2 linked regions of the Macaca fascicularis genome follow. Each later gene encodes a partner of the first gene's protein in a complex. Links are inferred from orthologs where the notes say so. Each region holds a gene or a part of one and is shown in the gene's direction. Other genes may lie near its edges.

Region 1 (4,973 bases):
GCCCAGCCCAGGCTGGAGTGCAGTGGCGCGATCTCGGCTCACTGCAAGCTCCGCCTCCCGGGTTCACGCCATTCTCCTGCCTCAGCCTCCCGAGTAGCTGGGACTACAGGCACCCACAACCGCGCCCGGCTAATTTTTTTTTTGTATTTTTAGTAGACACGGGGTTTCACCGTGGTCTCGATCTCCTGACCTTGTGATCCGCCCGCCTCGGCCTCCCAAAGTGCTGGGATTACAGGCGTGAGCCACCGTGCCCGGCCCTTTTGCCCCTTTTTGAAATGTATTAACATTGAATTATACAGTATGAATTCTTTGGTGTCTCATTTTATTCACTTAGTATTATGTTTATGAGAATCGCCTATATTGCTTCATTCTCATTCATTCATTGTATGAACATGCTACAATTTATTCAGTCAGCTTTTTTGGTCTTACGTAGTGCTGCCATTAACCAAACAGGATCTAATTCAGCAATACGAGAAGATTTACTGCCTGAAGGGCAATGAATTCACCACGTTAACAGAAAAATGGAGAAAAATCATATGATTTTTATGCATGTGTTTTGTGCATACATCTATGCCTTTCTTTTGAGAGTAGAATTGCCAGGTTGTAGTATATGTGTGTCTTCATCTTTAGATGATATTGCCAAATAGTATTCCAAAGTAGCTGAACCATGTGACATCCCCAGCTGCATAGTATGACAGTTCTGGTTATTCTATATTCTCACCAATACTTACCATTGTCTGATTTGTTTGGTTTTTTTTTTCGCCCTTTGGCCATCCTGATGGTGGTATCACATTGTGATTCTAAAAATTCTCTAATGACTAGTGAGGGTAAACTCCTTTTTATATGTTTTTTTTCCACTTGGGTATCCTCTTTTGTAAGATACCAATTCAAGGCTTTTCACTGATTTGTAGGAGTTCCTCATATATTCTGGATAAGAGTCCTTTGTCATATGCATCCCAAGTATGTTCTCTTCTTCTGTGGCTTATTTTCTTCATGGTTCCTGTTAATGACTAGAAACTCTCAATTTTAATGAAATCCAATCTACCACTTTTTTCTGATTAGCACTTTTTACGTCTTGTTTTAAAAGTTTTTACTTACTACAAGGTTAAGATATTCTCCTATGTTTTCTTCTAAATGCTTACTTGTTTGATTTTTCACATTTGGATCCACAACCCATCTGGGATTGATTGTTATACATATTGTAAGGTAAGAGGTCAAGATTCCAGTTTTTCCATATGGATACCAATTGAACCAGTATCATTTACTGTACACCATCACTTTTGTCATGAGTGATATTTACAGGCCTATTTATTCTTTTCCATTGTACTGTTTGTTTATCCCTATGCCAAACCTGCATGTCAATTTGGATAAAAGAGGCATCTGCACCATATCTCAGTGGAAGTGATGATAGCAGGCATTTTTGTTTATTTTTCCATCTTAAAGGGAAAGCTGGCCAGGTGTGGTGGCTCACGCCTGTAATCCTAGCACTTTGGGAGGCCAAGGCGGGTGGATTGCTTGAGCCCAGGAGTTCGAGACCAACCTGGGTAACATAGCAAGACCCATGTCCTTTAAAAAAAAAAGGGGGTAAAGCTTTTAATCTTTCACTGAGAAGTATGACGCTGGATGTAGGGTTTTTGTAGGTATTCTTTCTCACAATAAAGAACTTCCCTTCTATTCCAAGTTTGCTAAGAATTTTAATCTTGAATGGGTTTTGAATGTTATCATAGGCTTTTTCTGCATCTGTTGAGGGGATCATATGATCTTTTTCCATTTTTATGTTAATGTGGTGAATTTATTGGCCTTCAGGTAGTAAACCTTCTTATATTGCTGAACTAGATCCTGTTTGGGTGTGATTTATTATACTTTTTATACATAGCTAAATTTGACTTGCTAATATTTTGTTTGGCGTTTTTACATCTCTGTTGCAGAGAGAAATTGTAAGATTCTTGTCAGATTTGTGTATCTTGACCCAATTTGTTTACAGCAGGACATGCTCTGATGCTGGTGTTTCTTTTGAAGCTGCCGCCTGCAGTTCCTTTTGCCTTCTTTTTAGATGTTCATGAGAGCGCAGTTTGACTATGATCCCAAAAAGGACAACCTGATCCCTTGCAAGGAGGCGGGACTGAAGTTTGCTACTGGGGACATTATCCAGATTATCAACAAGGATGACAGCAATTGGTGGCAGGGACGGGTGGAAGGCTCCTCCAAGGAGTCAGCAGGATTGATCCCTTCCCCTGAACTGCAGGAATGGTGAGCCATTTTTGTGCAGGCGGAAGGGCCATGTGCCTGCCACAAATAACTTAGCTTCAGAAAATCTGTCATTTTGTTTGTAGTTTCTGTTTCTCGACCAAGGAGACCTCCTAGATTTCCTGGCATAATGGGTGGGGGAGGGTTAAAGAGGCAACTACAGGCAAGGGAGCCCAAATAGCTCTTCATTCCTATGTGGGCCTCTTGCTTCCTTAAACGTTTTCCCCATAGTTACAAAGCACGTGACAGTGCTGGGACGGAGCCCTCCCTGGTCTCCTATCTCCCAAGCTAGTGCGCTTCTACCAGCCATACTGTTTCTGGGATTTCCTTGGAGTCCTGCAGAAAACAGTCACATTTAAGTATGTGTCCTTTAGGCACATTTCTGGTACATAGAAAAAATAATTCCTGTCCCTGAGTCAGATTGCTCCCAAAAAAATTCACAAAACAGTTCCAACCTATAACATATCCAACACTGAGCCTCCCTCTGCCTGTGCAAAATTACCCCAGTGTAAAGATTACAACCCTTGTGGGGTTGACATTGAATAGAAATATTAGAATCTATTACATGTAGTAATACAAGTTATTGTTTTGTGAAGCAGTTGTTTTAGATATATATATGTGGGGTGTGTGTATGTGTTTTGTTTATAGATGTATGTATAATACTGGCTTGCAATGTACAGTGTATTTCTTAGGGTCATAAAGGTTTGAGACCTTGATGGTCTAGACCAAAGAAAGCACGTTGTTTGTGCGTTGTGTCCAGAATGTGCTGACAGGTACTGGATGACACAGACTCAAGGGGCCAGGTCCCTGACTGAGGGCAGGGCACAGTGCAAGATGCACCAAACAGCGTATGGGGCGCTTTGCACACATTATGTCCCACTGTAACGGACACTCAGAGAGTGAAGGGGATTAGGGAATGAGTGACTAGGGGGTTATGAGGGGAGGGGGAGGAAAGCTGACCCCTTGATTGTCTTTTCCTACCAGGCGAGTGGCAAGTATAGCTCAGTCAGCTCCTAGCGAAGCCCCGAGCTGCAGTCCCTTTGGGAAGAAGAAGAAGTACAAAGACAAATATCTGGCCAAGCACAGCTCGAGTAAGCTTTCTGAGCCTTCTTGCCCCAGGCTCCTCCAGCATTCGTGTGTTTCCCAGTCTCTGTAACCAGCAGAAAAGGGGAGGTGGTGCAGTGTGCAGCGGAAGGCACATTCTACATAAAGCATATAATTTCTTCTGGTTTCTTTTTATTGAATCCATCTTCACAAGCTTGCCGCAGTCAGACCAGTGGAGGTAAAGGAGGACTAGTGGTCTGCCTACACCTACTCATCACCCCACCCCTCACACAGAAGTAGATGTGGCCAGAACATCTGTGGTGGGAAAGGAGAAGTGGGGCAAGAACACAGGCCAGAGGGAGAGGCCAGGACCAGGTCATAGGAGCTTCGTGCACCCTCCCTAGCGTTTTCAATTTTGTACTACAGACTGTGGAGCTAGTGAAGGGTTTTGAGCAGAGAATTCACACGGTCACCTTTCCATCTGCATTTCTCTTTCTGAGATGTCACATGCACACCACCAGCCAGGGAATGATCGTGGCAGTCTTGGGTTGTGAGCAGGTGAGGGGGTGGAGAGTCAGGATGACACCAGGTCTCCATCTTGAGCAGCTGGGTCAATAGCCTCATCTCTAGTCACTTCCTCCCTGCTTGTTGAGATATCGTGAGGTTCTTTCCCACTTCAGAGTGTGGAACACTGTTCTTCCCAGCTCTGGAAATGAACACTGCTTGGTTTTCTTTGTCTCTAGTTTTTGATCAGTTGGATGTTGTTTCCTACGAGGAAGTCGTTCGGCTCCCTGCATTCAAGAGGAAGACCCTGGTGCTGATCGGTATCTTCTCATTTGCACATTTCTGTCTTTATTTTCCTGCCTGCATCATGTGCCCACCCCAGAAAAAGGCAGTGAGGAAGAAAATAAGTGAGGTCTCTTGGGTTCTCCACATAGAGCAGGTGTAAGGAATTTTCTGAATCCTCACATGCACCCCATCTGGGTCCACCTCACAAATGAAACTAAACCTTATAAGTTTCTCTACTATTTAGCAACGAATTCTCTTTGGTTAGGTTTCATGCTGGCAGGTCCGAAACAAGGTTTTGCTCTTTGTTCATCTGTCCACTGGCAGTGATATGCTTTTTAAAGCAAATATGTTGGAGAGCTTCGCTAGCATTTTGTTAGTATTCTGAACTGTCAGTCACCCATATAAGCCTTGGAAGCTTCCCCCAAGCAGTGACTCTGACCTGAAACAGAGTAAGTCCTTGCTTCAAACCCAGGTATGTAGGCTTTGCCTCTGGCGGGCTGCTCACCTTCCTGTCTTTAGAGTTGAAACTTTAGTTGGTTAGAGGATCTACATTAAGGTTTTGGTAAAATTTCTAGTAAAAACACTGGCTTAAATTCAGTTCCATTAATTTTGAAGAAATTTTAGAAAATAACCAGAAAGCCTCATGTGTTCGCTGGCTCCTCTGCAGAAGTGACAGTTACATTCTGAGTCCCAACCCTTAGTCCTCAGAAAGAGCCTTCTCCCCGAAATGGAAAAAAGGACCTGAAGCCCCTTGGTGGCCCCAAATCTTCTGACAGCTTAAAGGCCCTGACTCCAGCCCACATGGAACCCGAACTCATGTTCACCTGTTGGCAGCTTTGAGTGCCAAGAGAGGAAAATCTGTATCTTATCCCCGATCTCTGCTCCTCTCCCCG
Region 2 (5,668 bases), on another chromosome or scaffold:
TGATTATGTCTCAGGCCAGTAGGTTCTAAATGAGTCTGTAAAAGTCTCTAAGTGTGCTGCAATGACCTAATGACTTATTCTTTGTTACCTGGCAGGACTTTCTGCTTCTTTCCAACTTTCCAGCTGCATTTCAGATAATTAAAGTTATTTTCTCTCAGGACAGGGGAGGCGGACTACTGTTCCACCTAGACATAAATGTACGTATTACCAAAAAAAAAAAAAAAAAAGTTAAACTGTTAATCATGGGCGCGGTGGCTCACGCCTATAATCCCAGCACTTTGGAAGGCCAAGGCGGGCGGATCACCTGAGGTCGGGAGTTCGAGACCAGTCTGACCAACATGGAGAAACCCTGTCTCTACTAAAAATACAAAATTAGCCAGGCGTGGAGGCACAGGCTTGTAATCCCAGGTACTTGGGAGGTTGAGGCAGGAAAATTGCTTGAACCCAGGAGGCGGAGGTTGTGGTGAGCCGAGATCGTGCCATTGCACTCCAGCCTGGGCAACAAGAGCAAAAACTCCGTCTCAGAAAATAAAAAATAAAAATAAATGAATTAATCATTGCTTGTTTCTGTTTATTAAATGCCTTTTCTGTTCCCACTGTGATTCTACAATCACTGCCTCTGTAAAACCCTGGAATGCAGGTGTTCTTGCCTCCATTTTATAGATGAGGAAATCAAGACTCAGGGCATTCGGTGAGGAGTTTATTTCAATTCACCATGGCTGTGCTGCACATGGCAGTTGGACTAAAGATCTGTCAGCATCGGGGCTTCTTCATGATCTAACTAAAGTGAATCATAAGTGCTTTCCCACTGCGTCAAGAAGGCCTGGAGTTTGTGCAGCCCAGGTAGAGGTGAGCAAAGCCTCTGTGTTGCACATCTCCAGGGCTCAGCCTCTCATTGTATTCAATGCAGATGACAGCCCCAAAGGCACCGCCCATACACTGTACAGACAACTGGCCTGGCTCTCTGGATTGTGCAGGACAGGCCTTAATGGCAGAAGGTAGGGGAGACGAGGGCGTCACAAAAGTGCTTGGGGAACTATAAAGTACATATGTTTATTGCGGCACTATTCACAATAGCAAAGACTTGGAACCAACCCAAATAACCATCAATGACAGACTGGATTAAGAAAATGTGGCACATACACATCATGGAATACTATGCAGCCATAAAAAAGGATGAGTTCATGTCCTTTGTAGGGACATGGATGCAGCCGGAAACCATCATTCTCAGCAAACTAACACAAGAACAGAAAACCAAACACCGCATGTTCTCACTCACAGGTGGCAACTGAACAATGAGAACACTTGAACACAAGAAGCGGAACATCACACACCTGGGCCTGTGGTGGGGTGGTGGGAGGGGGAGGGATAGCATTAGGAGATATACCTAATGTAAACGACGAGTTAATGGGTGCAGCACACCAACATGGCACATGTATGTATATGTAACAAACCTGCACGTTGTGCACATGTACCCTAGAACTTAAAGTACAATTAAAAAAAAAAAAAAAAAGAAAAGCAGCACAGGACGGTTCAGATATCACATAGGAGAAGCACAGGGTGTTCCCCTGGGCGGGGATTTAAAACAAGGGCCTCAAGTTCCCTGCCCTTGTCTCTGGGCAGAAGGGGCAGATAATGCTATGATATACTTTTTTGTAGGTGGTGCCAGTTGACTGCATTTAACCAACCAAGATATGTAACGAAATCCTTGTGGAGGTTTTCATGGCAAAAGTAGAGCGAATTCACAAACTGCACTGTGTCTGGCAGCTTCAGACAAAAGCAATGGGAACAAATCACAACCCTTGTCCAGCAATTCTTCCTGTTTTGGAACGATCTTTGCTCAACACCCCATCCATGGGTACAGGGCCCCCAAAGGCCAAGAAGACAGGGACTCTCTCCAGGGACAAATGCCCCGTGGCTAGCTCAGAGAGGCCGCCCAGCTATCCAGCGGCCGCGCAGCCAGCCAAGATTTCAACACAGGTCTGCCCTATTTGGTCACCATTCCCGACAGTGCTGGGCCAGGCCAGCAAGTCACATTGGCGAGTTTTCCCTGCACTCCAGGGGGAATTCTCAACCACAACCTCTGTATCCGGTAGTGGCAGATGGAAAGAGAAACGGTTAGAAAAGCGTGGTTCTTGCGCAGGAAAGTTGGAGCAAAGAAGAGTTCAGAAGTGGGCGGGTGTGTGTTCAAAAAAAAAAAAAAAAAAAGGGTGGAAACCCTACCAGCCAAGTCTGCAGAAAAAAAATGAAGTCTGCCTATCTCCGGGCCAGAGCCCCTCCCCTCGGCCCGCGCGGGAGGAGTGTGACCCAGGTGCCGCTTCCTCTCGCCGCTGAGGGTCAGGAGCCCGGGAGCGCGACCCTCCCCCGGCCCGGCCCGGTCCGGCCCTTCCCCGCGGTCTCTGCCCGGGCTGATGCCCAGGACCAGCAGCCCCAACGGCACGGCGCGGCCACTCAGCCTCGGTGAGTACCCGCCGTGGGGAGGGGTCCTGGGGACCCACTGGAGGCCGCGGCCCGCAGCAGCCAGGGGCCGAGCCGCGGTCACGGACTCCCGGGTGTCCTGGTCCTTGCCCGGCCTCCAGGCGGAGGAGGCGCCCGCTGGGCTCAGATCCCCGACTCCAGCCCCGGTTCCCCGGCGCCTGGGCTGCGCGGAGTCCCTGTCCCGCGTCCCGGACGGCGACGCGCAGCCTCCACGCGCCCCGAGCTGGAGAGGCCGCCAGCCCGCCCGCCCAGGGCGTGTCGCCCGCTCTCTGTTTCTTTGTGCGGGGCATGGGAAATGTGTGGGGCCAGCACTGTCCCCCTAAAGAACAGTTAGGGAAGAGTCCACATCACAAGTTGCGTCTGTGCTGCTCCCTAGCCAGGGGCCGACCGGGCAGGCTCTGGTGAACTCCAGGCAACTCCAGCCTTGCCCAGGGACTTGCTCGCTCCTCTGGGCGCTGCAAAGGCACACAGATGCGGGGAAATCCTGCGGCCTGGATCCTTTGGGGATTTGTAATTCCTCGCTGTTTGTTTTCTTTCTCTTTTAAACCATTACGTTTTCTTGCTGACAGGAAATCATATGCGATGAAAGTCTTTGTAGGTGGTTGGAAACATTGCTGGGCCTCTCTCTGCGCTCTTCCTCTGCTGTTACTTTTGCAATAATAACTACCATTTTATTTTACCTAAAAACCTAATGCATATCCCTCTTATCCCCCACCCTGCCGCGGTCTTATTCTTAGAGTCTGTCAGAGAGGAGATAGCCTGAGCCTATCATGTGATAATGTTACCTTATTGATATGATGATGATATGGGTATTGGAGACACCAACTCAAAGTCTTTGAAATCCAGGGGGTTGTGAGGCCTCAACCCCACCCTGCCCGAGCCTGGAGCTTGGCATGGAGGAGCGTAGCTTCGGTCTACGTGTGTACACGGCACTCCGTGTGCCCGTGGTTGTGCTTGGGTCGGCCTGGGAGTGCGCGGGCGTAAATGGTACTTGAGAGCGAGGCCCCTCAGTCTGCACTGGGATCACTGCACTGCCTCTAAACAAGGCAGCCTCTCTTAGCTCCAGTTTCCTCATCTGCAAAGTAGGAATAATAACAGGAGATTCCTCATCCAGCAGTAAGAAGTCCGTATCAATGTCCCGGCACGGAGACTGACACATCATAAGTGCTGGATCCGTGCTGGGCATGTTTATATCATTGTCCATGAGACTGTGGTTCCCGGAGTTTACGTGTGTGTGTAACTTGAGCACGTGTTTGTGTGTGTGTATATGGCGGGTCCTGGGTTAAAGGGACAGAAGCCACTGTCATTATTCCAATTCAGGCACTGAGGAGGTGAGGCTGACAGGCATTCCCATGTCTGAAGAGGATGGGCTTGCCTGACCCCCGCCCCCGTGCCCAGCCCAGCCCAGCCGCCCAAGCAGTTCTCCAGGACTCAGATTTCAGACCTACAACACTTGCCTTGGGAGACAAACAGCTGCGCAGCCCTTGCTTGCAAGCCATTCCGCTTTAGACTTCGGACTGATTTATGGCAGGATCCCTGCTGTGCGAGAACGGCAGGGGGTGGGGGGGGCGGAAGGGGGGCGGCTATTTCTTGCTGCTAACTCAGGCAGGATGTGTCTATATCCTGTCTCAGTTTATGTAGCCGCTGCTCATCAGAGCCAGAGGTTAGAGTGGAGAGGACCCACTTCCGCCAGGCAGGCCTGCTTTGCTCAGCTCAGCTGGGCTAGGTCCCAATGCCACATTTACTGCGCGGGAGTCATGCACAGCGATCCGTGGCCTTGCCCTTGGATGGAAGAGGTCAAGGCTCAGTGAGAAGATGGCCAGGTTTGGCAGCTTTATATAGAATACACCGCCTCTGGCAGAAGCAGAGGATGGCATTAAGTGCCAAATGAAATTCCACCTCAGCCATTGCTCAGTTCCTCCAGATGTCACGGGCACTGGGAGTCGCAGGGCGCTGCTGGTCAGCAGCTGGACCTTTCCAAGGGTGCCAGTGGTTGGGCAAGTATTTCTGGGGACTTGCAGAGCTCCCTGGGGAGCAAAGGGGTGGGAAGTACAAGGCATTCTGCGCTTGTGGTGGGAACAAGTGAACTCGTCTGCAATGAGTAGGAAGAGGTCCCCTCCACAGGGGTGAGAGGTTGGGCCAAGCCAAGTCAGTTTGCCTCTTCGGGTGGCAGACCTGTATATACATCTATGCCTCAAGTGCCTGTCTGAGGCCACAGCCAAAACATCTTCCCGTAACTGAGCACACACAGTGGGCCAACAGCACGCTCTAAACACAAAACCAAACAGTAAAGTTAACAGTGAATGAAGGGTTAAAAATAGGAAAAAGACACCTTTCTCCCTACCTCAATGGCAATTACTGTATTTATTGAGGATAATCCTTCTAGAAGTAAATTTGCTGATACAAATATTTCTTATTTGACATAATAAAAACTTATTTTATATATTTAATGTCATCTTGCTTTTTCCCTCAGAATATCTCTGAAAGGTTATACCTTGTTTTTTTCTTTAACCAGTTCCTCTGCTGATGGGCATTTAGGCTGTATGCAGACTTCATTTAATTTTTTAAACCACATACAGTACTCCTGTGACAATGCGTAAGGAGGATTTTACGTGCTTGTGTCTGTAAACTGTTGGGATAAATTCTCCCACCTCAGCATTTGATTTCTGGGACAAAGTATATATCCATTTAAAATGTTAGTCGATCTTAAGAAACTACCCTCCTAAAGTTCACACTGGTTTCTCATGCTCACAAATAGCCTGTGAAAGTCACTATTTCACTATTTCCCTGCATCCTCACTCACACTGCACTTTTTTATCTTAGCCAAACTGAGGGGTTAAAAAAAAAAAATGCTGTCACTTTGGAATGAGCCTCTGTAATTAAGTGAGACGGAGCATGTTTTCTTACTTCCATAAGAGGCTGCATTACTTTTCTGGGAAGTGTCGGTTGATGCCTTTGTCCGTTTCCTGTCAGCACCCCACCCCCGTGAGGAAACGTGCCCCAGAAGTGAAAGGACATGTCCTCATCACATGATGAGTAAGAGGCAGAGCAGAGGCCCGAGCAACATCCGTGTTGTGGAGTCAGCCCTGGGTTTGACGGCCCTCCAATGTTCACCAGCTTTGGGAGAGACAGGAAATACCCCAGCACCTCAGTTTTCCCATCTGCGAGTGGGAATAACAGCTGCTTCCCC

What was found.
Region 2: the proteins of MPP1 (region 1) and GYPC are in contact, whole or in part, in an NMR structure (PDB 2EJY), measured with the Homo sapiens proteins. The link is inferred for Macaca fascicularis from reciprocal best matches to the Homo sapiens genes MPP1 and GYPC. Residues at the interface, in NP_002427.1 of Homo sapiens: Pro81, Met82, Gly83, Ile84, Leu86, Lys87, Leu88, Leu100, Val130, Gln134; in NP_002092.1 of Homo sapiens: Arg123, Lys124, Glu125, Tyr126, Ile128.

The regions. Positions count from the first base shown.
Region 1 is NC_088395.1:160,894,044-160,899,016, reverse strand, and holds part of MPP1 (55 kDa erythrocyte membrane protein), read left to right. Parts: intron 1-2,019; exon of another isoform or gene 2,020-2,053; coding exon 2,054-2,250; intron 2,251-3,231; coding exon 3,232-3,338; intron 3,339-4,034; coding exon 4,035-4,115; intron 4,116-4,973. UniProt on the Homo sapiens protein: Essential regulator of neutrophil polarity. Regulates neutrophil polarization by regulating AKT1 phosphorylation through a mechanism that is independent of PIK3CG activity.
Region 2 is NC_088386.1:4,918,710-4,924,377, reverse strand, and holds the start of GYPC (glycophorin-C), read left to right. Parts: upstream 1-2,321; 5' UTR 2,322-2,411; coding exon 2,412-2,460; intron 2,461-5,668. UniProt on the Homo sapiens protein: This protein is a minor sialoglycoprotein in human erythrocyte membranes. The blood group Gerbich antigens and receptors for Plasmodium falciparum merozoites are most likely located within the extracellular domain.